3 linked regions of the Caenorhabditis elegans genome follow. The protein of the gene in region 1 interacts with the protein of each later gene in a pairwise test. Each region holds a gene or a part of one and is shown on either strand. Other genes may lie near its edges.

Region 1 (10,611 bases):
TTCAACCTTTTCTGAAATTATTTTTAGATAAAAAAGTGCGGAAGATTATATATCAGTGGAAACATATTTTTTAAAGCTACATGGAAGGCACATGTGCTGTGAAAAGTTCCTATCATCAAAATAAAAGTGTCTCCCTACAATGAGCCTTTAAAGAAATTAATCAAAAATATGTAAAGCATCTGACACCCACTATAGCTATTACAGAGACAAATAAATGTTATTATTATCACAATACCTTTTTTCTGATTATGTTCCTCCAACGTTTTAATGAAAACTTCCCGGCCATCGTTCTGAAAAAGAAATATTCAGTAATCAAGTTTACTCCAGTTGCTTACCAAAAGTTTTTCCGCATTTTTGTGTTGCAAGAGCTTCTTTTCCACAATCTCCACCATGGGTCCCAGGTTCGATGCAATCACTGAAGCTACTTGCATCTGTAAATGATCCCCGTGGTGCTCTCGTTCATGACACATATTCTCGACGGATTTTCTCTTTCTCCGCACACTTGGTTCATCGTTATTTCTGTCAGAGCTCGAGCTAACTTCATTATCCGATGTGGGTCTACTATCGGAACTATGTGAATCGTCATTCACATGCATATCGTTTTCTCTGTATTTCCTTTCTTCGATTTTCGAATACTTTTGGATGTTTTCCGCAAGCTTTTCCAAGTGTATGTCACATACCAGTTCCGGCATAGGCTCTTTGTAGATTTTGAAGCTGCCAGACAGTCGAAGAGTATCTCTAATGGAACCTTCGGGCTTCTTGCAGTGGAGAGAAGGGCCGGCGTGCTCAGAACTTCTCGATGGACGAGATCCTCTGACCTGAAAAACATCAAAGCTTTAGAATTCAATGAGAAAATTTTTTACACGATGAGAATATTTGTTTGGAAAAAACTATAGATACCAAATAGTTTTAAAAATGTTAACTGGCTCTCTTGAATGCTAAAAAATCAGAAAAATTAACAAAAAGAAGCAAAGTCGTGTAGGAAAATGGGTAGACCGAGTTAAATTTCAAAGGGGGTGTTAATAAAACAACAATATTAACTTTTGTTTAAAAGAAACTGCGGGTTTCCACACCTAGAACATAGAGATTTCGTCATAGATTTTGAAAACACATGTTTCGCGCGCTTTCACTTGCATTGATTCTACCTTCCTGCAGAGTAATTGAAATAAATGTTCTTATCTCTTTTCGAAAGCGTGTGCATTCATTCAGAATGAACATAATAATAGAAAAATTGATGGCTAACTGTACTTAATGAACCTTGCCGAAGAAACTGAGAAAATTCAATAAAAGAAGGAAAAATGGAGGCCCAAAAAACTCGAATCTTCCAAACTGAAATTCTACAGTAAGCGCTATCGCGTTTTCGCTGCGAGACTCTTCCGCATGAATGCACCTCCCTTGAAGGATGCAAAAGTACTGTAGCTTTTAGTAAACATTTATTATTATTTACCCGATAATCTCCGTTATTTTGGTGCATGATTTCTCGCCTGAAATAGTAAATAAGAATGAAAGAAGAAGACCAACATTCCGATATTTTCAGACCGAAACTGTTTAAAATGGTATATCTAACAACAAAACGAAAAATAATAATTTTATTGAAGTCAATCTTAGAAGAATTCGGGTGATTTTTCTGACTTGTCCGGAGATGTTGGTGGCGAGCTTGTATCAGTATTGAATTCCATTCTCATGATTTGGGTACTCTGAAAGCATTTCCAGTATTAAAAATGTAAATAAATAATATTTGAACCTCTTGTCGAATTACTAGTCGTTCGTTTGCCATTTTAATCGCTCTATGAAATTCATCTTTGTAATGAGCATCCCGTGCATTCTTGAACTCCGTGTCACTTCCCGATTCACATGGTGTAATGGACAGACGACAAGGCGTCGGCGGATCTGGCTGAAATCATGAATCTTAAGACTAAAACTTCGTTGAATCATGCAAATACCACAAAGAGATGTCCATGGGTGAGGGCTCTTGGTTGATAAGTGACTAGGAGATTGCGTTCGTTGAAAATTGCTCGTCGAGCACGTGTCACCCATTGACCGAAAACAGTGAACCACTGAAAATAGTACGTAATCGATAAGTTAAAATACTGAAACAGTACAATATACAGGGATAATGATATGAAGACTGCTATCGGTCTAGATGGAACTCCATTGATGGCAAGAATCTCGATAAAGTGAAGCAGCAAAGCAAATGTAGTAATGACGCCAACAGAGGAAAGAAATCGAACATCTTCAAAACTGAAAGGAAATTGTAAAAATTACGGTTTTCGTGAAAACTCATCAAATGTCCTTTTGGAATGCACTTTGAATTTAGAACACAGAAAATAACTTACTTCATGTTCGAGACTAAAAGTACGACTTTCAATTTAATGAGGCGTGTTTAAAAATGATCAATTTGGAAGTTTCGAACAATAGGGAATAAATCATTTGGATGCGATAAAATAATAGTCCACGAAATTCTTTACGTGAATGTATTAATTCGATTAATTAAAATTATAAAAGAAACTGAATATATTTGAAAAAAAAAAGCAAGGATGAGATGAAACAAGATGTGTTGAGTATCTGTAGAAAACATTAAATTTAAGAACATTTGGGATAGATCTGAAATTTTGGAGAGAAATAAAACAAGTACAAATGAAAAAATGAGAAAACTCGTGCGAAAAAGTATAAACGTATTTCGAGGGGAATATACAGGCAATATTGTACACGATAGGTTTTAACAGCATGCAAAATTTTTGAGGGAGTCATAGAATTTCTGGTGCAATTGCATGAACTTTGGGAAGTCTTCAGGACGGATCACAGTTTCTTCTGTAGTTTTTGGATACATCTCACTGGCTGATGAACGACGGAATTTTTGGAAATGTGATGGTATATGTCGCTCCGGTACTGATACATTATTGTTTCCTATTTCAAGAAGACGCTGCTCGAGAATTGAGATTCCATTCTGAAAATTTAAAATTTAATTGAAAGTTGAGACATTTTCAGCATACGGCGATAGTTTGTGCATCAACGACGTGTTTCAAGAACATATGGATAATATGATCAATTTTGAATGTCAAAACGGGCATTCGTTTTCCACTGAGAAGAGCTCCACGTCTGAAATTTTAAGTGTTAATTTAAATCTTCAAATTTCAAGACTCATACTTGCTGAGTCTTTTCAACCGATCCGCAACTTCATCATCCAATTGTTCTTCTTCATTTGAACAAATATCAACTGGAATAACACATGACCATAGCTTGACGGGTATATCAACTCCAGGAGGCATCACAACTGCGAAAGCAAGAGCACTTCGATCCTCATCTGACAAAACTTCAACACATCTTTGAAGAGCCATTGCGAGTGACTTGTACGAGTAAGGGGTGATACATTCAACACCGACTAATCCTCGACTTTCCAATTTGTTATTAAGCTGTGCCATTCTGAATGCAAAATGTTTGATAATTTTAAGAATATACCTAGCGATTTTGGACTAAAAATGTATTATTTCGTTTCGACATTCCGGAAAATGATTAAATAAAAAGAGTATGCGGATTTAAGAAGTACAGTAGTCTCCAGCCTTGCTGTTTTTCTATTTTACTTGATTTTTTTTAAATATTTTATTCAGTTTTTAATATTTTTAGACTTGTTTCAAAATAAAAGGCTTTAAATAAAAAGAAACAACAAGAGAAAATCGAAAAATAATGAAAACAGGCTCATACTCGCTTTCATTTAAAAAATTTCCGTCGGGTCGAGACCGTGTATCTCTTGTTCAATTATGTAAAACGATAATTTTCTTAAAAAATTAAATCGATGGCAAATATCAAGAAAATCTCTCGGGTACGGTAGCTACACAGTTTTCTCTCGTGCCAGGATCCTAATTCTTGATTTTGATCCTCAATTCGTAAAATTTAAAGACAATCAGCTATGAAACTTTTTGATTAACTTTTATTGTAGAATAAATTATTTTAAAAGTCTCAAATTGGTATGTCCCACTCACTTTTCAAATGTTTTCGGTTCACAAGACTTGAAAAACATCATAAGCGTTGCTGGATTTCCACTGCTTAGTTCGATTGTTTTATTAAGCACATCTTCTTCTTTTTCTCCAACAGGCATCGGCATTCCATAAGCTTCTAGAAAATCATAACATTCATCGATTTCCAATGATGTCACTTCAATGAATTCGCATGTTTGAGAAGCAGCATTTGATATTTCCACGTCACGAGTAGTTACAAGACATCGAAGACGTAGCTCCTGAGCCCAACGAATTGTTTCTTCTTGAACTACGTCATCAAATACGAATAAAGTATTTGGACGATCAATGAGTGCGTTGCAGATCTAAAAACCAATAATTTAAGATATTGTACCAGAATCGGCAAGCAACTTACCATCCTTTTGAGTACAACTGACGTGACATGCTCCACCGATGGGAAATTGAGAAGATCGTCTTCGCTTCTTGAAAGAACACGGTTAATGAAGTCGGTGATCGAATGCGAGTCATCCGTGTCGCTCACAACACGGGCTCGTCTTCAAACACACAAAACATGCAAGCGTCACGAAATATCAAATTAAAAGCTAACCAGGTCAAATTTTCATAATTTCAAAATCATGCTGAATGTTACATGCACTCTATTCACTCACTTTAGCATCAGCAAAATATCCGTAAATAAATCGAATGTAGATTTTGGAGCTGTTCCACTATCTTTGAGCCAAACGATTGAATCATAATTTCTGTAATAGAATGAAGATCCGTAGGATTCAGATAATACCACTCACATTCCAATAAGTTGGTCAGATTTCGAAAGAGCTTGTGATGCAATTACTGATTTTCCGGATCCAGCTCGGCCGTGTAGAAACAGAAAAAAGGAGTCTGAAGTTTAAGCAAGATTATAATAAACACGAGAGCTTCCAGTTTTCTCACCTAAATCACACATCTCGTCGAGCTTTTTGATCACTCGATCCACGTGATACTCTCGAATATAGCATGTCATTTGTTTTGGAACATTCCCAAGCAATAGTTTCCTATCGAGCATTTGTCGGGAAAATTGTGGAGCAATCACTACTGGACGAAGTAGATCTGGCTCATTTATCGCAAAATCGATGTAGTCTTCGAGGAAATCAGCAAGGTGACTTTGATTGTTGTAGTTGAAAAAGTCGATGAGTGGTCCAAGTTCAGAAGCTTGACGTCGATAGATTCGAAGAAAATTGGCGATCCTCTCGAGGCGAGTTGACATTTTACTGATAAGTTCAGAATGATCTTCTGTGAAAATGTTTTTGCCTTCTAAATAAGTCAATGCGTCACGTGGTTCAAAGTCGTGGATGAGCCTCGTGTGTGCCGTGCTCAAAGCGCGGCATTCGATTTCGCAGAGCATCTGAAAAATCTTCTTGATTATAAGGAAGCAAGATTTTGTGAATTTTAAAATGCTAGGTGATGTTTTCGAAACAACGGTTAGCTGGAGAATATACAATAGCATTGATAAAAAATTATTTGTTAAACATTATATACACTTTAAAAAAACAGGCATGTAATATAGAGGATAAATCTCCAAGCCCGAAATGTGCATAAATTGTGAGGCATAAAAATACCTTGAAAATGAGTAAAGAACATTGTATAATCAGATAGAAGCAAGAAAGATTTTAAAAAAATACAGTAAAGCTTACAGATAAAATGAAATTAAACATGAAGGAGTACTAATTTATAAAAATCGTTGAATATAAATAGACCGGAAGATATGCTGATCTCGAATGCAACGAGTAAAAAGTAGACAAAAATAAATTCGAATTTTCAGATAAAAATGCAGTTTATTTGGTAGAAACATTGTACAGGAATGTGAGAGGCCTAATAAACAAAAATATATCGGCAAATCGGCATATAGTTCTTATTTAAAAAGCGAATGAGTAAAACAGTGAAATATCACAATCCTTTATCCTTTCCTCTTTGCTTAGTGATTGTCACACGTCCTTCTTCTAAATCTTCCACTGTCGCTGATATTTGCCGAGAATCCCAACCCTGTAATACAATATTCAAATACAAAAACAGTACATTTTGTAGCTTCATACAACAATCAGAAAAATTATAATTTAAATTAAAAAGAAAGCCAAGCCCTCTTTATTGCGTTTTATTGATTTTTAATCGTTTTTCGTTAATCTTCGAAAATTAATTTGGAAAAAAAAACAATTTTTTTAATTGTAGAAACATCAGATAACTTACATTAGCCCCTTTCAAGTTAATCATTTTATCGGTGACAATTTCGAGTTTTGCGAGCATTTCTCCAAATATTCTGTTATACGCATAGACATCTTCGCCGTGTTTGAATGACTTGTTATCGATCACAAGTTTCGGTTTCTGAATCGATACCGAACAGACAATGATTCGACGCGAATTCGGCCGATTCATAATAATATCCAACTCTTGTCGAATTCTCGGATTTTCGAAAGACAAATTCAGCTTGAATTCAGGTATTCGAGTATTCTGATTTGAATTGAAGTAAGTGACTGGCTCAACAAGCTGTCCTCCTCCACGTCCTCGCAGAGTTTTCTTGTTGGACTCGAACACAGGCGGAGCTGACTGTTGTTTATGAATATCGATGACTCCGTATTCATGCAAAACTGTTTTGTCCATTTCATCACTCCTTTTCGTGAATTCGTCTAGCAATTCCGTTAACCGCAATGTGCATTCTGCTTGATCTGCGGCACTTCTTGTATTGAAATCATTTTTTGCTAAAGAATTTGTATTTTGAGCTTTTCAAAGTTTTCAACAATTCAAAAGATACCTTTTAGTTCGGCTCTCGCGCGATGGCACTCAATTCGATCCTTCTGGACTTTTCTATCTTTATCGAAGTTCCGGCGAGCAGTATGTAAAAGTGGATGATTGTCTGAAACATTTAAATTTAATAATTAAAATAAAATCAATAAAAGATAATCTTGACAGCTGGTTTACCGTGTTCCAACATTGCCAGCTCTTCAATTAATTTATTGATCGGCATGTGACGAGCATGTCGGATGAAATCTGAAAGAAAACCATTATCATGTGAATGTTAATCAATAATATATACCATCGTCAAACTCCACATCGTTTGTGTTAGATGTACTCGCAATTCCAACGTCCTGGAATAATATATTCAATTAAAAATGTTTTAAAATACTAGTCTCTCACCATCCAGGATTGTTATAGGTTAATTGAGTGACAGCTGTAAATGTTTATCGGAACTTTAATGTTTTATAAAAAGTAATTGTTAGAAAAAGTGAAGAGTTATAAAATATTATTTAAATGAAGCAAACAAAGAGCAAGCTGCTCCGCTTTGCAATTCGAATTGCCGGGAATATCAATCGTCGTCAAATCAGGTGCATTGGTACCATAAGCCGTCGAGTGTTTGCACAGAAACACATTTTTGTTTATTTTTTGAATTTAAAAGTGTAAACTTTATGATTTTGAAATGGTTTTTTTATGTTTTATTTTCCTTTTTCCTGTATTTTAGACCCATCGGTAGAAAATGAAAGCAACAATAAAGCTCTGGTGTCTAATAACCGGCTTTGTATATATTGCGCCCAGATTCCTTCTTTATTCATAATTAAAACATTGTTTCGCGAAAAAAAAATGTGTCGAAACTTCGACACATTTTCATAACTTTCATTTTGAAAAAGGGGACGGGCTTTAACACGTCCTTTTCCACAATTCATATGTCTTCACGAAGTGTGCGTGGATTGTGACTTCTACCCAGTTTTCTTTCCATCTCTGCGTCTTGCTCTCCCCAATTTCACGTGATAGACGACGCAAGCCTGAAAAATCATTATTAAAAATCTATCACTCGTTTTATGAAAAAAAGTTTTCAGTGATCAGCCAACAATGTCACCACGAAAGCATGAACAGTGTTTTAATTTCGATGCTGAGATATCGGATATTCAAAAATGCCTTGTCGAAGGTCATCGCACAATTATTTTAATTCGCGGAGTTACGGGATCCGGAAAATCAACATTAGCTCGAGAGTTGGTAAACCATTCCGAAAACGGCGTTATTGTGAAAAACGATGTTTCCAATAATATAACAAGATCAGGTATTTAATTTAAACATTGTTTGTGTACATAATAAAAATTAATTTCAGTGCGAAAATTTATCGATGAAGATAAACATCTTATCGTTGTAGACGAGGAGAACGTACAACGATCAAGTGTTAAAAAATTCGCAGAGTTAGCGGTTAATGGCCACTACGAAATTTTCGTGTTGGAGCCGGACACGGATTGGAGACACGATGCAATTGAATGCAAAAAGTTTGAGTTTTAATTCCTGAATTTTCTTCTAAATATTTCATTTTACAGAAGAAGCGAAAAAGATGAAGAGATCGGGTCTATCGAGTCGAAAATCATGCAATTAAAAGAAAATCAACTCGGCTGGGAACATTTAGTAATTGGTGGAGAAGCTTCAGTAAAGTAAGCCAAAAGCTCAGTTGGTGTCAGGCTTTCCCACATTTTCATCTAAAGTTTTTTTAAACCATAGAATAGTGATGTGGCACGCTTTTGACCATGTTGAACACTCTGGCACCACGTAATTTTAATATATTTGGCAAGCGTGTAATTTGAACATTAAAAATACAATTTTCAGAATTTCAAATTTCCACATCGATACGGAGATTACCAGTGTCCTGTGTAAATCACCAATCAGTTCAGTCAATAAAGGATCACTGACAGAATCGACAACTTCATCCACATCCTCACTATCTCAAATATTCTCAATGACTCCTGAAATCAAAGTTAAATCAATGAGAAGTGTCGGTACTCAAGTAGACGTTCAGTGTAGTAAGTTTAAAATCTTTTTTTAACTATCCAACTAAAAATAAAACAATTTTCAGTTACCTACGGACTGGCAGGCTTTGATTCGGTATTCAAACATTGTGGTGTTTTTTCTGGTGAAGAACATAATGTTTCAAGTATTTGGAAAGGACCAGTTCGTATGGTTGAAAGAAAAACTGAAACGGAGAGTTTTGAGATATCTCAATATGGGGAAACTGTTTTCAAACCTTCTCTTCAACTTTTAGTGTAAGTATTTTTCAAAAATTCAAACAAAATTCGAGAAGTCAATTTTCAGCGGTACATCTGACGAAATCGCATTTTCATTGCTTCGTCACGTGTTCAGTAAAATGGATATTATAGAGCTTCGTCATTATCTTCAAGTTCTTGGATTCGAGAAGACGTTCAATTTGATGTATAATCTCGGCGAAGAATTCATTGAAGGAGAAATTCCAGTTGACGAACGAATTCTTCTCGATGAGATTGAAGCTTTGGAGAGCTTCACTGTTTCAAATATGACTATTGAAGAAGAAATTGAAGCTAGAAGAGTTGAGAGACTTGCACTCAAGTTTGTGGAAGAAATGTGTAAGTTTTGCAGAATCGAATGAAAATAACTACGAATTTTCCTTGTTCCAGAATGTAGAAAAATTAAAAACCGCAGAGATTCAAGTTTATAGTCAGCACAAAATTATTAATTAACATAACTATCAACATAACTATTTGTGGAAACATTTTTAAAGTACGCAAAATTGTACGTATCTAAAAGTTATTTTTTTGGGTATAATCACCCCAACCTGTAATCAATCGATTTTAAATTAAAAAAAGAGTTATTTTAATAACATAGTTTTTTTTTGACATAACCCCTTAGAAACGTCACTTAATATTTCAAAATCCTTTCCCTAATATAAAATTATTTTCAGATAATCCCGATACCGAGAATGATGAACAAATCGCACTCCTCTTGCACTCTGAAATGAACGACGAAAATGGAGACAATGATTTGATCGAAGAGGATTATTTCAACATTGCAAATCTAGAGGAATCATTTCCGGGTACTAATAAAAAAGTAGTCCGTGAAGCGTATAATATCGCTGGTAGAAAAGTGGACTTTACTCGTGAAATTCTTTTGAGTAATGGCGAAGTAGAGAATACATATGCGGTGAAGTTGAAACCGAAACCGACATGGAGTAAAAAAGTTGCGTCTTCACCGAGTCCACTTCGTCTTTCGTTGCCGAAAAAATCGAAGAAAGAAGAGGAAAATCATTTCCTAAAGAAAAGAAGTGGAAGGTTAGCCAGTTTGTAAACATTTAAAAATGAAAATTCTAACATTTCGCATTTTCAGACATTCCCAATTGGAAGAAATCCAATTGCTTGCCATTAGAACTCGACAGAAAATCGAAGCAGATCGCATCACATCTTCTAATTCGATGGCTGCTGCGAAATATCGCCAATTGATAATTGTCGATCGAGCGTCACGAATGAAAATTGAAAAATCATCGGAAGTGAAAGAACTTGATCGGAAAATTCGAGAAGCCCACAACAATCCATGGTTTCTTGATTTACATTACATGTCAGTTGATGGAGCAGTTAAACTTGTGAAAGAAGCGATTGAAGCAGTCAAATATCATTTGAAAGCTGGTAATATTTTTTGAAATATTTTGTGCCAAAAATATTCATATTTTTTAGCTAGAAACCTTGATAGACGAATCACTGTGGTAACTGGATCTGGTAATAATTCGAAATGTGGAGCCAAGATTAAACCTCAAGTTTTGGCAATGCTGCAGCACAATGATTATAATTATGAACTCGTGAATGATGGATGTATAAGATTCAAAGTCTAGCATACC
Region 2 (10,612 bases), on another chromosome or scaffold:
GTGAAAAAAAAAAAAAATTGTACATTTTTCAAAAAAAAAATCGATTAAAATTAAATCCTTTTTTAAAATAAATTTAGACAAAAAAAACCTATTTTCTCTTCACATTTTTCGCATAACGAAAAACCTGTAAATTTCTGGAATTTTTACTAAAAACTCTGTAAATTTCCGAAATTTTCATTGAAAAATCGATAAAATCTCATTTTTTTTTTGCAGGACGACAATGGCGAAATTTCAAAAATACGAGAAGGTCTCCTAGATGGATTTTGTGCATAGTGTGAGAGCCACCACGAAAAACCTTCTTTTGTGTATTTTTGGTGCCAAAGGGTAGAAAAATTGGCATTTATTAATTTTTTTTTCATTTTTTTTGATTTCTTGTGGTTTTTGTACTCCCCTGCCTTAAAAAACGCCAAAAATGACCTATTTCGGTGATTTTTTATTCAATTAATCGATAATTTTTTTCAAATTTTTCAAATTTTTTCCCTACGTAAACTCTCAAAATGGTGCAATTTTCCCTATTTTTATTGTAAAATTTTTTTGAAAAAAAACATCTCACATCTTTTCCATATTCTCTCTCTGTTCCATCGAAAATCCCCCCACCGCGAACTGATCTTCAAAATTATTTAGCCCCTCAAAAATTCATTTTTTCTTTCTTCTAAAAGTCCTCTAATTTGCATAATTCTCATTGATTGTATATTTGTAAAACCCCCCTCCTACCCCCCTCACCACCACCACCAGCTTCATCATAATTTATTTATTAAAGTAGAGTTAATTGGCGGGATTTTGCTTCAAAAATTCCAAAAAAAAAAAAGACTAAAATTGTGAAAAAATCGCTTAAAAATTCAAATTTTGACTGAAAACTCAATTTTTTACTAAAAATTCAAATTTCCAGCAGAAAAATTCAAATTTTGACTGAAAAACTCAATTTTTGGCAGAAAATTCAAATTTTGACTGAAAAATTCAAATTTTGACTGAAAAATTCAAATTTTGGCTGAAAAATTCAAATTTTGACTGAAAACCCAATTTTTTACTAAAAATTCAAATTTTGACTGAAAAATTCAAATTTTGACTGAAAAATTCAAATTTTGACTTAAAAATTCAAATTTTGACAGAAAAATTCAAATTTTTGACTGAAAAATTCAAATTTTGGCTGAAAAATTCAAATTTTGACTGAAAACCCAATTTTTTACTAAAAATTCAAATTTTGACTGAAAAATTCAAATTTTGACTGAAAAATTCAAATTTTGACTTAAAAATTCAATTTTTTACTGGAAAATTCAAATTTTGGCAGAAAACTGGTTTTTTTTCAAAAAATTCCAACGAAAAAATCAAAAACTCTTTATTAGAATGGTCCGACCAATCAGCGCATCGCTCCGCCCACTTTTGGACCAATCAGCGCGTTCGAACGCGTTGATTGGTTCATAAAGTGGGCGGCGGAGCGATGCGCTGATTGGTCGGGGGGAGTTCTTATTTAGGAGGAAATTAGCCAAAATCGGAAATATCGGTTGAATTTTTCAATATTTTGGGATTTTTTGAAGCAAAAATCCCCTCAATTCACGCTACTTTTTCGCCTTAAAATTCAATTTTTTAAGAATTTAATGATTTTTTTTCCTAAACTAACCCCAAAAATATCCCAGTTTTTTCCCCAATTTTCTCAGATTTTTACTTATATTCCACCCAACTTTAACTTATTAAATATCCATACCCTACTAGATACGTTTTGGTGTCTTTTTGTCCAAAGATTTTTGAAAAAAATAATGTGCAAAAAATAAACAAAATAATTCATTTTTTAAAATATTCTTTCAAAATTTTTAATCCTAAAAATCAGTTGAAATTTCATTATATTTCTTTATTTTTTTTTTGCTCAAAAAAAATCGATAAAAAATCTGAAAATTTTTCAGAAATGCCTGGCGGAATGGGTTTTCCTAGTGATCCGGCACTTTTGCCACGTGTACAGGCTCACATTCGAAAGTTTCCCGGTACAAAATACTTTAAGCCGGAGCTTGTCGCCTACGATTTGCAGCAAGAGCATCCGTATGTGTTCTGGAAAAAAAATTGAGAAAAAACACGATTTTTCAGCGAATTTTGAGCTTTAAAATCGATTTTTTTGAATTGGAAAAAATATGAAAATTCACAAAAAATGGGAGTTTTAAGCTGAAAAATCGATTTTTCTGCAATTTTTTGAATTTTTAAAAATTAAAAAATTTGAAAATACCCATTTTTTAGGAAAAATGCGCAAAAAAATTTTTTCAGATATTTTTTGGATAAATATACAAAAAATTTGATTTTTTTTGAGAATAAATTCAAAAAAATTGATTTTTCGAGCTTTTCAATCGATTTTTTTGAATTTTTTCGGCAGAAAATTGTGAAACAAAACAGATTTTCAAGCGAAAAAGTCGATTAAAAATCAATTTTCACTAGTTTTAGAATAACATTTCAAAAAATACGAATTTTTAAGCGTAAACATCGATTTTTGTGCAATTTTTTGAGTTATTACACCAGAAAATTGTGAAAAATCAGGTTTTTTAACGAAAACAATTTTAAAAAAATTCGATTTTTCTTCAAATATATTTATTTTTTTAAAATATTTTTTTACCTCAAAATTTGACTGAAAAATTCAAATTTTGACTAAAAAATTCAAATTTTGACAGAAAAATTCAAATTTTTGACTGAAAAATTCAAATTTTGGCTGAAAAATTCAAATTTTGACTGAGAACCCAATTTTTTACTAAAAATTCAAATTTCCAGCAGAAAAATTCAAATTTTGACTGAAAAATTCAAATTTTGGCTGTAAAATTCAAATTTTGGCTGTAAAATTCAAATTTTGACTGAAAAATTCAAATTTTGACTGAAAAATTCAAAGTTTGGCTGTAAAATTCAAATTTTGACTTAAAAATTCAAATTTTGACTTACAAATTCAAATTTTCACTTAAAAATTCATATTTTTGACTGAAAAATTCAAATTTTGACTTAAAAATTCAAATTTTCACTTAAAAATTCAAATTTTGACTTAAAAATTCAATTTTTGGCAGAAAATTCAAATTTTGACTTAAAAATTCAAATTTTGACTTAAAAATTCAAATTTTGACTTAAAAATTCAAATTTTTGACTGAAAAATTCAAATTTTGGCTTAAAAATTCAAATTTTGACTTAAAAATTCAAATTTTGACTTAAAAATTCAATTTTTGGCAGAAAATTCAAATTTTGACTTAAAAATTCAAATTTTGACTTAAAAATTCAAATTTTGACTTAAAAATTCAAATTTTTGACTGAAAAATTCAAATTTTGGCTTAAAAATTCAAATTTTGACTTAAAAATTCAAATTTTGACTTAAAAATTCAATTTTTGGCAGAAAATTCAAATTTTGACTTAAAAATTCAATTTTTGGCAGAAAATTCAAATTTTGACTTAAAAATTCAAATTTTGACTGAAAAATTCAAATTTTGACTTAAAAATTCAAATTTTTGACTGAAAAATTCAAATTTTGGCTTAAAAATTCAAATTTTGACTTAAAAATTCAAATTTTGACTTAAAAATTCAAATTTTTGACTTAAAAATTCAAATTTTGGCTTAAAAATTCAAATTTTTTTCAGAGAATACCAACGAAAAAATCACAAAGTCTTTATGGGAATGGTGCGTGAAGCCTTGGAACGAATTCAGCTTGTCGCAAAAGAGGAAAATGACGAAAAAATGGAAGAAAAAGAGGCGATGGACGATGTACAGGAGATTCCAATTGTAAAAGCACTCGAGACACGGAAACGGAAGGCTCCGGCTGCTGGGAGGAAGAGCACAGGGTACGGGAGCGGAGAAATTCCGACGTTTGGGGCTCAAAATTCGGAGAAAATCGCTTCAAAATTAGAAATTTGGGGTAATTTTCACATTTTTCTGGTTTTTTTTCGGAAAAAACTATGATTTTTGGACAAAATTTCAAATTTTGACCGAAAAAATCGCTCAAAATGAGCTCAATTTGAGATATATTCCGAAAATTTCACAAAAAATAGTTATCTTATGAATTTTTGGTTTTTCGAGAGAGAGAAAACAAGGAAAATCACAAAATTTCACTGAAACAGTCGGAAATTTTCCGATTTTTCCGCATTTTCCGCGTCAAAAAGTGGCCCTAAATCGAAATTTCTATCGAAAATTGTGAATTTTCACCCCGAAAAATTCAAACTCCCGTGCCGTCAAAAACTCAACGTTGACACAGCTGAAGACGCTGCTACCGTAGTCCTTTTTGAATTTTTCCGATTCTAGTGTCGATTGTTTTTTTGTCAGCGATTTTCTTCGAATTTTCCGGAAAAATATACAATTTAAGCTATTTTCGGTCCTTTTTGCAACCAAAAATTGGAATTTTCCCTGATAATCGACAATTAGACCGAAAAATTCACTGAAATTCACTGAAAATTTCAATTTTCCATTAATATAGCTACCGTTTCAGTAGAAATCGAAAAATTTTACCACGTCTGCATAAAAACTCAGCCTTGACAATGTATCATATTTGCGTCCCCATTCGCCGAAAAACCATCTCAATCACCGAAATAACACGTAATAAAATGCCAAAATATGCATTAAAAGGCGACAATCATATAAAAATTAAGTTCCAACCGCTGCGACACCGAGAAGTTGCCAAAATTTGAGATTTTAGCTAAAATTGGGTCATTTTCTCCAAAACTTTGAGCGGTCATTTTTTGAGAAATTTTCAGAGCGTCTCATTACAAAATTTGTTAGTTTTGGACCATTTTGAGTCTAAAAAAGCAAAGTCTCAAATTTCACTACCCCACCTGTGTTAAAAACCAATTTTTGAAGTAAAAATTGGGGAAATATTCAAAAATCTCGCCAGGAACTACGGTAGCAGTGATTTAAGCTGTGAATAGTAACCGAAAATGATTTTTTTTTCTCAAAAATTTGAATCTCAAGGCTGAGTTTTTATGCAGACGTGGTAAAATTTTTCGATTTCTACTGAAACGGTAGCTATATTAATGGAAAATTGAAATTTTCAGTGAATTTCAGTGAATTTTTCGGTCTAATTGTCGATTATCAGGGAAAATTCCAATTTTTGGTTGCAAAAAGGACCGAAAATAGCTTAAATTGTATATTTTTCCGGAAAATTCGAAGAAAATCGCTGACAAAAAAACAATCGACACTAGAATCGGAAAAATTCAAAAAGGACTACGGTAGCAGCGTCTTCAGCTGTGTCAACGTTGAGTTTTTGACGGCACGGGAGTTTGAATTTTTCGGGGTGAAAATTCACAATTTTCGATAGAAATTTCGATTTAGGGCCACTTTTTGACGCGGAAAATGCGGAAAAATCGGAAAATTTCCGACTGTTTCAGTGAAATTTTGTGATTTTCCTTGTTTTCTCTCTCTCGAAAAACCAAAAATTCATAAAAGAAAACTGTTTTTTTGTGAAATTTTCGGAATATATCTCAAATTGCTCGGTTTGAGCGAATTTTTGTTGGTCAAAATTTGGTCCAAAAATCATAGTTTTTTCCGGGAAAAAAACCAGAAAAATGTGAAAATTGCCCCAAATTTCTCATTTTGAAGCCATTTTCTCCAAATTTTCAGCACCTTTAAATGAGAATTTACGTTGAAAAATCGAAAAAAAAATCACGTTACACTGAAAATTTCCCCGAAAAACGACCAAAATTTTTCAGCCAAGCCGCCGCCGCCAAGGAAGTAGTGCTCAGCGACGATAGCGAGGACGAACGAGCCGCCCGTCAGCTCGAAAAACAAATTGAATCGCTCAAAACCAATCGGGCCAATAAGACCGTCCTCAATCTCTACACGAAAAAATCTGCTCCGAGCACTCCCGTTTCTACTCCGAAGAATCAAGCCACAAAGAAGCCTCCAGGAGCTTCTGCTGCTCCACCAGCTCTTCCACGTGGGCTCGGAGCCGTCAGCGACACGATCAGCCCGCGCGAGTCCCACGTGAAATTCGAGCACATTGGTGGAGCAGATCGCCAATTTCTTGAAGTTTGCCGGCTCGCAATGCACCTCAAACGTCCGAAAACCTTTGCCACACTGGGCGTCGACCCACCACGTGGATTTATTGTTCACGGACCGCCCGGATGTGGGAAGACAATGTTCGCGCAGGCGGTGGCCGGTGAGCTCGCGATTCCGATGCTCCAACTAGCGGCGACGGAGCTCGTGTCGGGAGTGTCTGGAGAGACGGAGGAGAAGATTCGCCGGCTTTTCGATACGGCCAAACAGAATAGTCCGTGTATTCTGATTCTTGATGATATTGATGCGATTGCACCGCGTCGGGAGACGGCGCAACGGGAAATGGAGCGGAGGGTTGTTAGTCAGTTGTGCAGTTCGTTGGATGGTGAGGAGCACAACTGATTTATCGATTTTTTGAAGGGAAAAATCGATAAATCGATAATTTGAAAACTTCCGATTTTTCGGTAAATCGGAAAAACGAAAAATTTTGGATTTATCGATTTTTCGATTTTTCCAAACTTATCGATTTATCGATTTTTCCGAATTTTTGGATTTATCAATTTTTCCAAATATATCGATTAATCGATTTTACCAAATTTATCGATTTTTCGATTTTTCCAAACTCATCGATTTATCGATTTTTCCAAATTTATCGATTCATCGATTTTTCCAAGGGTTGTTAGTCAGTTGTGCAGTTCGTTGGATGGTGAGGAGCACTTGATTTAACGATTTTTTTGAAGAGAAAAATCGATAAATTGATAATTTGAAAACTTCCGATTTATCGATTTTCCGGTAAATCGGAAAAACGAAAAATTTTAGGACATATCGATTTTTTCAAATTTTTTTGATTTTCCCGAAAATTTGTGATTTATCGATTTTTCAAAATTTTTTTGATTTTCCCAAAAATTTGTGATTTATCGATTTTTCAAAATTTATCGATTTTTCAAAATTTATCGATTTTTCAAAATTTATCGATTTTTCCAAATTTATCGATTTTTCCAAATTTATCGATTTTTTCAAAATTTATCGATTTTTCCAAAATTTATCGATTTTTCCAAAATTTATCGATTTTTCCAAATTTATCGATTTTTCAAAATTTATCGATTTTTCAAATTTTTGGAATTATCGATTTTTCAAAAATTAAATTTTTTTGTGTCGATTTACGCAGCTTGTGTACTTCTCGAGGATATTTATTGCTTTTTTAAACGAAAATTTAGGATTTATCGATTTTCCGGCAATTTCGGTACTTGCCGATTTTCAAAGTTTCCTGCAATTTCAGAAATTGGCGGTTTTGGAAATTTCCGGCAATTTTGGAAATTTCCGGCAATTTTGGAAATTGCCGGTTTTGGAAATTTCCGGTAATTTCGGCAATTGCCAGTTTTTTTTTAAATTTCCGGCAATTTCGGCAATCGCCGGTTTTTTAAATTTCCGGCAATTTCGGCGATTGCCGATTTTTAAAAATTTCCGGCAATTTCGGTAATTGCCGGTTTTTAAAAAATTCCGGCAATTTCGGTAATTGCCGGTTTTTAAGATTTCCGGCAATTTCGGTAATTGCCGGTTTTTAAGATTATTTGGCGATTGCCGGTGTTTAAAATTTCCGGCAATTACAGCAATTAACGGTTTTGAAAATTTCCGGCAATTTCGGCAATTGGCGGTTTTTTTTAATTTCTGGCAATTTCGGCGATTGCCGATTTTTAAAAAATTTCGGCAATTTCGGTAATTGCCGATTTTCAAAGTTTCCTGCAATTTCGGTAATTGCCGGTTTTTAAGATTTCTGGCAATTTCACAAATTGCCGGTTTTTAAGATTTCTGGCAATTTCACAAATTGCCAGTTTTCAAAATTTCCGCCAATTTCAGAAATTGTCGGTTTTGAAAATTTCCGGTAATTTCGGCGATTGCCGGTTTTTAAAAATTTCCGGCAATTTCGGCAAAAAGTTTTAGACCACACCCACACAAGATGGCCAACAAATTTTTTTTGTTGCAGAACTGGTACTTCCACCACGCGAAAAACCACTCAAAGATCAGCTAACATTCGGAGACGACGGCAGTGTAGCCATCATTGGAGACTCCCCGACTGCAGCTGGCGCCGGTGTTCTCGTAATTGGTACCACCTCCCGACCGGACGCCGTCGATGGAGGACTCCGACGAGCTGGACGCTTCGAAAATGAGATTTCGCTGGGAATCCCAGATGAGACAGCACGGGAGAAGATTCTGGAGAAAATATGTAAAGTGAACCTGGCCGGTGATGTGACACTGAAACAGATCGCCAAGCTCACGCCAGGCTACGTTGGAGCTGATCTTCAGGCACTGATCCGTGAAGCCGCCAAAGTTGCCATAGATCGAGTCTTCGATACGATCGTTGTCAAGAACGAGGGACACAAGAATCTGACCGTGGAGCAGATCAAGGAAGAGCTCGATCGGGTGCTCGCCTGGCTTCAAGGAGACGATGATCCATCGGCTCTATCGGAGCTCAACGGCGGGCTTCAAATCTCGTTTGAGGACTTTGAACGGGCTCTCTCGACGATTCAACCGGCGGCGAAGCGTGAAGGATTTGCGACGGTGCCTGATGTTTCTTGGGATGATATTGGAGCACTGGTGGAGGTGCGGAAGCAGTTGGAATGGAGCATTTTGTATCCGATTAAGAGAGCCGATGACTTTGCGGCTCTGGGAATTGACTGCAGGCCTCAGGGTATCCTGCTCTGCGGGCCGCCGGGCTGTGGAAAGACCCTACTAGCCAAGGCGGTGGCTAATGAGACGGGCATGAACTTTATCTCGGTGAAAGGCCCTGAATTATTGAATATGTATGTTGGAGAATCGGAAAGAGCCGTCAGAACGGTGTTCCAACGGGCTCGAGACTCCCAACCGTGTGTCATCTTCTTTGATGAGATTGATGCTCTTGTGCCGAAGAGATCGCATGGGGAGAGCTCTGGTGGAGCACGGCTTGTGAATCAGTTGCTCACTGAGATGGATGGTGTCGAGGGGAGACAGAAGGTTTTTCTGATTGGAGCCACTAATCGGCCGGGTGAGCTTTAGGCAAAAAATTAGCTGAATGAAATCGGATTTTGGTTCAAAAAAATTCTAAAAATAAATTTTTGCCTCAAAAACAAAAAAAAATTATTTTTTTGCTGAGAAAAACACCCAAATTAATCAAATTTAAAAAAACCCCTAAAAATCAATTTTTTCCGAAAAAAAACCAGAAGCTCTATTTTTGCCAAAAAAAAAGTTCAATTTACCAAAAAAAAATTTTTTTTCGGAAAAAAAAAGAATGTACATTTTTGTTTAAAAAAAAAATTTTTCAAGAAAAATACTAAAAGCCTTTTTTTTAAGACAATTTTTTTGCCAAAATCAATTTTTTCCAGAAAAAACCTTTAAAAAATCAATTTTTTGTCAGAATTTGTCAGGATTTTTTTGTCGATTTTTGCCAAAAAACCAAATATACCAACAAAAAAAAAACACAGTTTTTTCGTCGCAAAACCGAAAAACATTATTTTTTCCAAAAAATAGTTCAATTTTCCAAAAAAAAAATGTTTTTCGGAAAAAAAAGTACATTTTTGCAAAAAAATTTCCCCAAAAAACCAAGTAACACAGTGCATATAATAAACCGCAAGATAAACTTTTCCCTAAAAACCCAAAAAAAATTTTCCGAAAAAACCACCAAAAATCTATTTTTGCCAAAAAAGAATCAAGTTTTGCAAAAAAAAACCCAAAAAATTCATTTTTTGCCAGTAAAATATCAATTTTGTTTGAAAAACCAATTTTTCCGAAAAAAACCCAAAAAAAATCTTTTTTTTTTCTAAAAAAAAACCAAAAAATCAATTTTGGTTAAAAAAAAAACGAAAATTGACAAAAAAAAACCAAAATATCAATTTTTCTGATAAAAAAAACAAATCCATTTTTGCTAAAAAAAAATCTCAAATAAAAAACGAAGAAATACAAAAAAATCCATTTTTGCCAATAAAAATCCATTTTTTCCTGAAAAAACCAAAAAAAAAAATTTTCCCGTTTTTTCAACACTATTTCCTTCCATTCCAGACATTGTCGACGCGGCAATTCTCCGTCCAGGACGTCTCGACAAAATTCTATTCGTAGACTTCCCGTCAGTCGAGGATCGTGTCGATATTCTCCGAAAAAGCACGAAAAACGGAACTCGGCCGATGCTCGGCGAGGATATCGATTTTCACGAAATTGCTCAGCTTCCAGAACTTGCCGGTTTCACGTGCGTCGAAATTTTTTTGGCAAAAAATTTTTAAAAATTTTGAAAATTTCAGCGGCGCCGATCTGGCGGCTCTCATCCACGAATCGTCGCTTCTTGCACTACAAGCCAGAGTTTTAGAGGTTTGTTTCGAGAAATTGGTGGCCGAGGAAAAATTGGTGGCCGAGAAAACGATTGGTGGCCGAGAAACAAAATTGGTGGCCGAGAAAAAAATTTGGTGGCCGATAAAAAAATTGGTGGCCGAGAAACAAAATTGGTGGCCGAGAAAAAAATTTGGTGGCCGATAAAAAAATTGGTGGCCGAGAAAAACATAATTGGTGGCCGAGAAAATAATTGGTGGCCGAGAAAAAAAAATTGGTGGCCGAGAAAATAATTGGTGGCCGAGAAAAAAATTGATGGCCGAGAAAAAAATTGGTGGCCGAGAAAAAATTGATCACCATTTTTCTCGTCCACCAATTGTTTTTT
Region 3 (9,899 bases), on another chromosome or scaffold:
TAAAATCGCTTGTTTGAGAATGGTCAATTCATAACTATTCAAAGCAGATTTCTTGATTAAAACCATTCGAATAATTACAGAAGTGTAAACTGCCAAAATAGTTATTGGCACAAGAATTTGTTGGACTATTTCTATCTGAAATTATTCATGAACTTTTAAGGTCTAATAAGAAAAGTATATTTGTATATTTTCCGCTGGTCTCCAGTAATTGCTTCAATTAGTTCATAATCTTTGCCAAAGGGCAAAGTCTTCTTGAAGGCAGATAGGCTTGTCTGCTTGATAAGGGCCGTTGGCAAGCATGGTTTAGCATGGTACAAACATAATTAACTTGAGTTCAAAACGTTCTTACAACTTGGATTACGGTAGGTGCACTTTGTATAATAATTCCTGTTGGTGTTGTGCATTGTAAAAAGTAATGCTTCAACTTTTCATCATATTCATATCTACAATTACTCAACATCATGGATCCTGAAATGAATGCTGAAAATATCCAAACAAGTGTCATCCAAATATAAATTAATTGTCAGAAAGTCAATATAGAAATCATATCACTGTGAGGCTCTCCACGTACTTGTTGAATACTTTTCCCGTAGCCTTTGCAAAAAGGAATACAAACATTCTATGAATTGCAATTGTCAAGTTCGAGAAGAGTATAGAATTATGACAGAAATCAATAATACAGGACATGTAAAAGAAAGGAGCTGTAAAATATCAAAATGTACATTTCTAGAATATTCCGGTTACCCGACTGAACAAATGACTCTGTTATCATTGCAAATAACGTTGCTGGAACATTTATCAGAACATTCAGAAATGACATAACGAATACAGAAAAAGTTAGTTGTGTGAGAAACCAAAATAATATCATCTGAACCCGAATACATAATAAACATGACGATTTTAGTCTAACCTGTTTAAACCGACTCCATAAAATAAAACAAAGGACTAGAAATCCTCCAGTTAAAATTGTTGAAACAAGAGACGACAAGACAAACGAAGAAATCACAAAATAGTACATAACATCTTTATCCTTTAGTGGCAAATTTGCTGTGATCTAAAAATCGGAAATGTTTGCATTCCCAAAATGCGAAATTTTGGTGTCGGCGCGACCAAACTTTTTGAAAGATTCGAAAAACAAAGTGGTTCTTTAAGAAGTAGGGTAATTTATTGCTTGGATGAGTAAAACCGTAGACTTTGAGGTTTAGATATACTATGAACATATATCGTATGTTCGCAAAAGGCTTTCCAGATGCACTTTAGAATTTCAAAATTTATAAACTTCATTTTCAACATTAAATGAGAAATTCTCTAAAACTTGGTGCCTGGAGAGTCCACGATGACTGAGATCGTGGTGAGACCCACTCAGAAAAAACTACGTGTTCCTTTAAATAGACATGACAAAATTTCGCGAATCTATAATATTTAATTACACGCAGAACGTCTTCCTGTTCTTCTTTTTTGATAAATTATCTAAAAAAACGACACCCAATTCCTTTTTTGGTTATTATTCAATCCGGATTAAAATATTCCCATTACCTCTCCGATGGATGCTTATATCTCTGCTGTTGAAAGTAGTAAAGTCTGTATCAAAACGGCTTCCGGTCTTACTATTAGGATTCAATATTTCATCTTCTCCAGGAACTGTTGGAATAATCAATAGCCAATAAAAAAGAAACAACATTCGTAGATACTTTGATTAATATCTATGAAATCACCAATTCTGAAACTAACAGTTGAAATCAGGGAAAACTAATTACGAAAGTTGGGCACAAGTGTTTAACAATTGCTAAAAAATACCACCATTTGATCTTACTAGGGAATGGTGTTACCCCTGCAATCGCTAGGAGGACAAAACAAACTTTAAATGACAGATGAGGTCTTTGGCTACAAAAATCATTTTTTGGAATCTGCTTAACTCTTCCCCAAAGCTGAACTTTTCGGCCTTAAAAAGTAGTCCTCTTTTTGCTCAAAATGCCGTTTTTCGTGTGTAGAAGTGGCTACATAAAAGTTTGGAACTGCAGCCGCCGTTCGAATGGCCGATTGGTGAACTCTCGTGCTCATTAATCTAAAGGTCACGGGTTCGTTCCCCAATAGGTATTAATTTTTTTTTGAATTTTTCCTCTAGCATGAAATATGCACAAAAACACGGTTTCTTTCGTTTTTTGGTAACTTCGGAATAAATTTTTTGGTTCCTGAGAATCATAAAAGTAATTTGGAAAATTTTTGGAAGTTTTCTTTTTTTGATAAATTTTCACTTTTTTCCCACCTGATATATGCACATTTTTTTCTTCAAAAATAATTTTTCAAAATTTTTTCAAAAAGTGTTTGGTTTGAAAGAGCAGCATTAGTTTGGATATTTCTACGATTTTGGAGGATCAAATGTCATTTTTAGGAGAAAACCACTGTTGTTTTCTCTAGAGTTTTTCACGAAAAGGACTTACTTTCAAAGACTTCCAGCTCCGTTGACGGGTAAAATAAAAAAAAGTTGTCAACTGCAAAGTTGTTTTAAAAGTACCAATAAACAAATTGTCAGTTGAATCTACTCTGCTAAATTTTATGGGTAAAGAGATATAGCTAATCGAAGTGAAGCTTTAACTTACGTTAGTAAGTTAAAGCTAAAGTTAGCAGAGTAAATTCAATTGACAATTTGTTTATTGGTACTTTTAAAACAACTTTGCAGTTGACAACTTTTTTTTATTTTACCCGTCAACGGAGCTGGAAGTCTTTGAAAGTAAGTCCTTTTCGTGAAAAACTCTAGAGAAAACAACAGTGGTTTTCTCCTAAAAATGACATTTGATCCTCCAAAATCGTAGAAATATCCAAACTAATGCTGCTCTTTCAAACCAAACACTTTTTGAAAAAATTTTGAAAAATTATTTTTGAAGAAAAAAAATGTGCATATATCAGGTGGGAAAAAAGTGAAAATTTATCAAAAAAAGAAAACTTCCAAAAAGTTTCCAAATTACTTTTATGATTCCCAGGAACCAAAAAATTTATTCCGAAGTTACCAAAAAACGAAAGAAACCGTGTTTTTGTGCATATTTCATGCTAGAGGAAAAATTCAAAAAAACGAAAACGGCACTTTGAGCAAAAAGAGGACTACTTTTTAAGGCCGAAAATTTCAGCTTTGGGGCAGAGTTAAGCAGATTCCAAAAAATGATTTTTGTAGCCAAAGACCTCATCTGTCATTTAAAGTTTGTTTTGTCCTCCTAGCGATTGCAGGGGTAACACCATTCCCTAGTTAGCAGATGCGAAGTTTTCTCTTGTAATCACCACTTCCCTGCTGCTCTCGTGCTTAAAATTCAGAACACAATTTAAAACTTTGAAACTTTAGATTAGAACTTTCAAGAAATAAACAGAACATGACACATTAATAAAAAATGAATAAAGCAATGAAATACAAACGGTAACGTGGATAGTAAAGCGGGACAAAACATTTGCAAACGATTTCAAAGAAGCAATATTGAGATTCATAGTCAGTGGGGAACGTGAAAATGATATAAAAACAAGTTGGGCAGGAACAATAATACGGCGTTTCTATGCGGTTTCTGATACAGAGTTAACAATTGCAGATTCCAACTTTGATTCAGTTCCATTATCCGTCATTGGTTGCGTTTCCTTTGGTGGATCGACTGGTTCCCCGTAAACACGAATCAAATAAGCACATGTCTTTGGCATATCTCCATGATTTTCGCGGAAACGGAATTGCACGTGATTGATCGGTGAGTGATTTTGAATTGTTGGCACCGAACAGAATTGTTCTTGCTCGTCATAACTTCCATCACGTTCCTTATATTCACAGTTGGCGACAAGAGGCTGCCATTTGGTGCAACATGAGTCCGTGCATGCCTGAAAATATATAATTAGTTACTGAACACAATTTTTATATAGCTTACCACGACATCGTAGAGCTTCGGGGCATGATTTGGAACAATCCCGCTCCATCTGACATGTTGATACGAGACACTTTTCGGTATGACAAATCTAGCGAGCTTCACGGTCAAGGTCGCACGTTTATCGTATGTGCACCACGCTTCTCCTGGGGATAGAACGTCGCGATCAAGCAAAGCATATCCCTCCTGGAACGTTCCGAAGTATGACATGAAATCGTAGAAAAATCCATCTTTTGCAGAAACTGGACGTGATGAACAAGAATGATCGATTGATGCACCAATAAGACTGTTGGCAACATTCACTCCAAGAAGTGCTCGGCGTGTTATGTGCATTGGTTGAAGCTGGCTAGAGGGAGGAAGCGATGCAGTTGGTGCGGTCTCTGGAGCCTTTTCTGGTGTACTGTGGATGATCTTTGTGCTTTTCTGAAAAATTAGCATTGGGAAAATATATTAAATTTGAAAATTACCGCATCATCGATTTCCTTTTTCATTTGTTGCAAAGCATCGCTAATTTCTGCTTGCCATAATTTGATCTGTTTGAGCTCTTCGATTGCCGACTCTTTCCATCCTTTGCTGTGTTCCAAAACGTTTTCCAGTAGTTTTTCCAAATGGTCAGTTTTGAAATCGAGTTGTTTATCGTGCGCCGAAAACTCTGCTCGGAGATTGGAAATCTAAATAATATAAAAATTTATTCTGACTGTTCATTCATTGTACCGTCTGATGAAATTTCTGTTTTTCGGACGCCCAATTCGCGTCTTTATCCGCGTAGGATCCTTCTGAATTATGATGCGTTCCATCGAATAAACAATCACGAGCATCTGAAATTATTCATTTAGATACCCACAACACGTTTTCCCGACTCACACTTGTATAACATAGCAAAAAGAACAACAGCCATAAGAGTACGTTTAAACTGGGCCCACGTTGGAACAAAACGACGCCGAACCATGCGAATGCGATATTCCAGCCAGTCATACCACATTTCCTTCTTCATCGAAGTGATTTCTTTGTAGCTAAAATGCTCCTTGTAAATAAATTTCGAAGAGTTCAGATCAATTTCAGAATCGTCAGCCGACTCATGAAATCTCTGAATGGTGCCTGTAATCGTTCCAGGTTGGGAATCTCGCCGAGTAACTGGAGTAGATGTGTCTAGCGGCTGATGAACTCCTGTTCGAGATACAGAACGGGTAACTGGAGGACTGTGGCGATTCGAAAACTGCGGTGAGATGGTGTGTCGCAACGCCATACCGAGTAGATCTGGAAGTTTAGAAAGAAATTGAATGAAAAAAGCCTGTGCGGAATTGTAATTTGGAAATTAAGAAACAATGCAATATTTTCAAGAGCGAGAAAGTTGTTTCAATTAAAATAATTATGAATTAATTGAAGTTTAACTGCACTTTACAAAGCATAAACTTTTTAAATGCTTTATATTTGTCTTAAAACAAAAAATATCCGAACTGAATTCGAAAAATGAAAAAAAAAACCAGAAAATCGAAACCTCGAATTCAAGCAGCCCCGCACTGATTGCGGCAATTCTCAAGATCGCGTCGAGACCCTCACCGCTGACGTATTGCACCTTTGAAAGTTACTGTAGCAGTAAATATGATTTGGCAGGCACAGAAATTTTTTGCGAAGAGTTTGTTCTCATTAAAACACGAGTATTTATTCTAATATTGGCAAAAACATTTTAGAAACTGATTTTAGTAATAAAAATTAAATCGCTCTCGAAGTTTGCCTTCTCTGCTGTGAGTTTGAATTGGCTTGTGAAGTAGTGAGAGAAACTCTCACAGAAACGAGTTTCCGAATTTCTTTTGAAGTGAAAAAGAAGAAGCACGGCGTTGCAGCTCCAGCGCATATTTCAGTCTGCAATACGGATAATTTTTCAAGATTGCTATGGAAAAATTAAAAAAAAAACGAACCGTATTAATAATCCGTTTTATCAAAAATGCAGTTGCTATTTCAAACTTGATAGTTTGGCATAATAGGAAAACCGACGATGAAATCTGGAAATTTTTTTTTTCATTTTTTCGTTCTTAAATCAAACAGGACCTGAAATAGGCAAAATATAAAAACCGCCTGTTTCAAAATAGTGAGCTCGTATTTGTTGAGTGCTGCTTTTTTCATTAAAATTATTTTAATGATAATTGCAATATATATTCCCAGAATAAATATTGGAAGAATAAATTGTATTAAAATTTCAATCTGAAAGTGTTTATTGGACTGGATATTTTCATTATTGTGCTTACAGTTTGTACAATTGTCGGTGGAGCAATATTTTTAATTCCACTACTAGTTTCACAACTCAAAACATAATGTTTCATTAAAATTCGTTCATCATATTCATATTGGCAGTTATTCATAATCATAGACACTACAACAAAAGCAGACAATACCCATACCATTCCCATCCAAAAGTATGTTATCGGTCTGGGATTAGTAGATTAAAATTCCAAAAATTTCAGAATTCCCTACTTTTCAAAAGCAATATCCGTGTGTTTTTTGAAAAAGAACACAAACATCCGATGTATTGCAATTATCAAGTTTGAGAAAAGTATTGCATTATGACAGAAATCGATTACATTGGACATGTAGTAGAATGAGGCTGAACAAAAAAAATGATTCAAAATTGATTCAAAAAAAGTTACCGGATTGAACGAATTCCTTGGTTATCAAAGCAAATAATGTCGCTGGTACATTAATTAAAAAGTTTAAAGAAGACATTATGAAAACAGAAATGGTCAGTTGAGTTAAAAACCAGAAAAATATCATCTGAATTTTTTCAATAAATTCCTTGGAAAAAGTTATGTAAAACGTGTTTCATTACTTTTTTGAAATGGCTCCAAAGGATCACAGAAAGAGCCAAGAAAACTCCAGTCAAAATAGTTGATGCAAATGTGGACATAACAAACAAGGTGATAATAAAATAATAGAGCCCATCCTTATCTTCTGGTGGAATGTTACCAGCTACCTTACAAGTTAAACATTTAATCTGCGACAACTATTTCATTTCAGCTAGTGTTTTTTCAAGCTCAACTGGTTCAAAACTGAATACCAGCGAAATTTTTCGAATTATTTTTTGAAAAGCTGAAGTTGTGGTAATTTACCAAAATTTTAACAAAGTTCAATCTAAAACATATTGGAGTTTAGAAATGATATTTGCAAAATTTTAAAAGATGAAAAAAGTTTTGAATTCAGGTTTCACCAATATTATAATTTGAAAATAGATTTTAGACCAACTGACCTCTCCAAGAACCGTGTCTTTTAAATCAGATAAATTCTTTCTTCTAATAAAGTCATTAGAAAATGGATCATCTCCTTGTCCATATACTACATTTAAAAATATCAAAAAGTAGAGTAGAAGAAACATAGATTTCATAAACTCAACAAATTGAGTACGCTGATTATTTTGGAAAACTGAAAAGCAGGTGGAGTCAAGAAATCAATTAATTTCAAAAACTCAACACATGACTAGATGAAATTTTCAGCTTTGATGTGAGATCATGACGAGATTAGGAATTGGATGAATATCAAGTAGCACTTTGAATAAAATTGTTTTGAATGTTATATTTTGTGTAGATAAGTTGAAACTAGACATTCCACCCAATTGAGCTCTGGAGCGCCACACTTCACAAGCGTTAACGTTCCGAATTAAACGTTTCACATATTGGATTTTTCTACGTGCCCAAAAAATTAACAATCATTAATTGAAAATATTAAATAATTGTTCCATTTTTTCCTATAAAGGAGGATTATTTTTCTGCTTTGAACCAAAATTATTAAGAACGAAATTTTTATACTTTTTCAGTGGTCAGAATAGTTTATGATTAAAAATTTTATTCCAGAAAAGAATTGCATGATATATTTTCTGATTTATATTATTTATTTAGAAAGCTAAAAAGTACATTTCTACACGTTTTAAGATTTTAAAACTAGTCCCCTTTACAACATATGTTAGTGGTATAGTGGTATAAAGTTATAGTTCCAATTCTTGAGAATTTAAATAGAAGAATCATGCGACCGATCCAAGAGCAGAGATACTTGACACATTCCGAAGTCTTATATTCGAACTAGCTTGAGAATTATTCATAGAGCTTTTAACTGATGCCATCTTTTTAATTTCTTTTGAAGTGAAGAAAAAGAAGCAAGGCGTCGCCGCACCAGCTAATATTTCCATCTGAAATCACAAGTTCAATGCAATAAGTTTTCAAAGTTATTATCGAACCGTATTGATAACTCGTTTGATAAGAAATGCAGTAGCCACACCGAATTTTACCGTTTGACAAAGAAGAAACACGACAGAAGATACCTGTGAAATTGAATAGATTTAAATGGGATAGCTAGGTAATGTTTGATTACTTGAAAAACAAAGAATACGAAGAATGCTTGCTTTAAAATGGTGATTTCACTTGATTTCAGTGATGATTGTTTCATTATCATTATCTTGATTGTAAGTGCAATATAGATCCCAAAAATTATACAAGGAATTGCAAATTGGATCACTATTTCCATCTGAAATAATATTTTTTAAAGTGGTTCAGAAGCTAATTTCTCTGTTTACAATTGAGATTGCTTTTGGTGGCGGCAAGTTGACAACTGCACTTGTCTGACAATAAAGTTCATAATGTAGAACATTCAGTGAATACCTATAGCGGCAGTTATTATACATCATAGCATACACTACCAATAGTGAAAGTAGATATACAGATATCATCCACGCATACATAAATGGCCTGAAAGCGTTCAAAGTTCATATGATCAACTCTGACATTGTTTTTACGTGTCAAAGACACTGTCCGCCAAGTTTCGAAAAAAGAAAACGAAACATCTCTGAACTGCGATCACCAGATTGCAAAAAAGAATAGTGTAATGGCAAATGTCTATGATATAGGAAATGAGAAGAAACGCTTCTGGAAGAAAAAAAGAAACAATTGATGATCACAAAACGTTTCGATACCTGATTTCACAAAATCTTTGGTTAAGAGAGAAAATAATGTTGCAGGAACATTGATGAGAAGATTGAGAATTGAAATAATAAATATAGACAATGTGAGCATACATAGAAACCAGAAAAATTTCATCTGAAACAATCAAATTGGAAACTGTCAAAAATTTAATATCGGCAGAACCTTTCTAAAACTTAGTTTTGAAGTTTGCATCGTTTATGCCCGATAAAAAAGACACAAGAAAAACTTGGTGAGAAAGACAAAAAATGGGTGAAACTTGGGAAAACTTGGTAATCCTTGCCACGTTATATCAAAAGATGTCGCTAAATCCCAAGTTAATAGAAGATTCTCACTTTTGTGAAAAACCAACTCATTGCAAACTATTCCTGAGTTTAAATTCATCTTACATGTTTGAATCTCTTCCACAGGATCACCGATGCAACAAGAAATGCTCCAGTTAGCAATGTGGAAATGATTGTCGAGGCTGTGAACGTTGCAATAATAAAATAATACAAAAAATTCTTATCTTCAGGAGGAATCTCTGCATCGACCTGAAGTTTACTAGTTATACCTATTTTCCAATAAATAAAAAATTACCTCTTCAAGCGGTGAACTTTTAGGAGGTGAAACTCCATCAGAAGATTGCAGATGAGCATTTGCTAATATTCCAAAAACAAACAAAAGAACAATCGAAAGCATTTCAAAAGATTAATCGATTAAAAAGTGAGTTCAGTAAGTATTAGAAAACTAACTAAAAGTTGATTTCGTGAGAGATGAAAAAGCAGCTGGAAATCAACATTTTCGCGCCTGAGCACGTTATTGCCTTTTATAATGATTAAAATGAGAATGTCTTGACGTTTTTTCTACGAACAAATGTCAATAATACAACTTTAGTTTCGTGTTTAGTGTAATCTGCATCATAATTTTTTTTGGAACGCTTGATCCAATGACGTTCATTACACTTTCGTTGACTTTGTGTTACGATTGTATTGTTTTTATGTTCAAATTGCAGATTGTCATGTTCATTCTAATCTATCAGGATGACTTTGCAAAAATGGATAAA

Evidence for each region.
Region 2: the proteins of ced-4 (region 1) and mac-1 interact in binary tests that used the Caenorhabditis elegans proteins (3 or more experiments, as listed by UniProt).
Region 3: the proteins of ced-4 (region 1) and sun-1 interact in binary tests that used the Caenorhabditis elegans proteins (3 or more experiments, as listed by UniProt).

What each region holds. Positions count from the first base shown.
Region 1 is NC_003281.10:4,847,066-4,857,676, reverse strand, and holds ced-4 (Cell death protein 4), read right to left. Parts: upstream 5,353-10,611; coding exon 4,902-5,352; intron 4,851-4,901; coding exon 4,757-4,850; intron 4,712-4,756; coding exon 4,624-4,711; coding exon of another isoform or gene 4,622-4,623; intron 4,504-4,621; coding exon 4,369-4,503; intron 4,319-4,368; coding exon 3,981-4,318; intron 3,424-3,980; coding exon 3,148-3,423; intron 3,100-3,147; coding exon 2,994-3,099; intron 2,948-2,993; coding exon 2,720-2,947; downstream 1-2,719. Other genes in the region: C35D10.7 (ULP_PROTEASE domain-containing protein), read right to left, coding at 1-11, 236-290, 336-818, 1,448-1,474; C35D10.8 (PH domain-containing protein), read right to left, coding at 1,605-1,697, 1,745-1,894, 1,944-2,057, 2,103-2,241, 2,337-2,341; F26A1.1 (Non-structural maintenance of chromosomes element 4), read right to left, coding at 5,895-5,990, 6,192-6,700, 6,754-6,855, 6,921-6,989, 7,036-7,087, 7,137-7,139; nonu-1 (Smr domain-containing protein), read left to right, coding at 7,827-8,034, 8,083-8,248, 8,297-8,407, 8,580-8,773, 8,827-9,013, 9,063-9,349, 9,685-10,051, 10,107-10,402 and 1 more. UniProt on the Caenorhabditis elegans protein: Component of the egl-1, ced-9, ced-4 and ced-3 apoptotic signaling cascade required for the initiation of programmed cell death in cells fated to die during embryonic and postembryonic development.
Region 2 is NC_003280.10:13,312,198-13,322,809, reverse strand, and holds the start of mac-1 (Protein mac-1), read left to right. Parts: upstream 1-1,898; 5' UTR 1,899-1,900; coding exon 1,901-2,031; intron 2,032-3,590; coding exon 3,591-3,791; intron 3,792-5,648; coding exon 5,649-6,319; intron 6,320-7,918; coding exon 7,919-8,956; intron 8,957-9,966; coding exon 9,967-10,150; intron 10,151-10,202; coding exon 10,203-10,269; intron 10,270-10,612. Other genes in the region: Single-stranded DNA-binding protein homolog sam-10, read left to right, coding at 214-273. UniProt on the Caenorhabditis elegans protein: Probably together with ced-9, plays a modest role in preventing ced-4 and caspase ced-3-mediated apoptosis.
Region 3 is NC_003283.11:13,188,389-13,198,287, forward strand, and holds sun-1 (Sun domain-containing protein 1), read right to left. Parts: upstream 5,151-9,899; 5' UTR 5,140-5,150; coding exon 4,758-5,139; intron 4,712-4,757; coding exon 4,608-4,711; intron 4,565-4,607; coding exon 4,361-4,564; intron 4,317-4,360; coding exon 3,897-4,316; intron 3,850-3,896; coding exon 3,538-3,849; 3' UTR 3,314-3,537; downstream 1-3,313. Other genes in the region: F57B1.1 (G-protein coupled receptors family 1 profile domain-containing protein), read right to left, coding at 5,607-5,756, 5,813-5,896, 5,943-6,095, 6,140-6,320, 6,366-6,495, 6,539-6,662, 6,718-6,861, 7,135-7,260; F57B1.9 (G-protein coupled receptors family 1 profile domain-containing protein), read right to left, coding at 7,903-8,067, 8,116-8,199, 8,250-8,402, 8,452-8,623, 8,671-8,800, 8,848-8,971, 9,244-9,387, 9,434-9,535. UniProt on the Caenorhabditis elegans protein: Involved in centrosome attachment to the nucleus. Required for zyg-12 localization to the nuclear envelope. Together with pot-1, it is required to anchor telomeres to the nuclear envelope in embryos.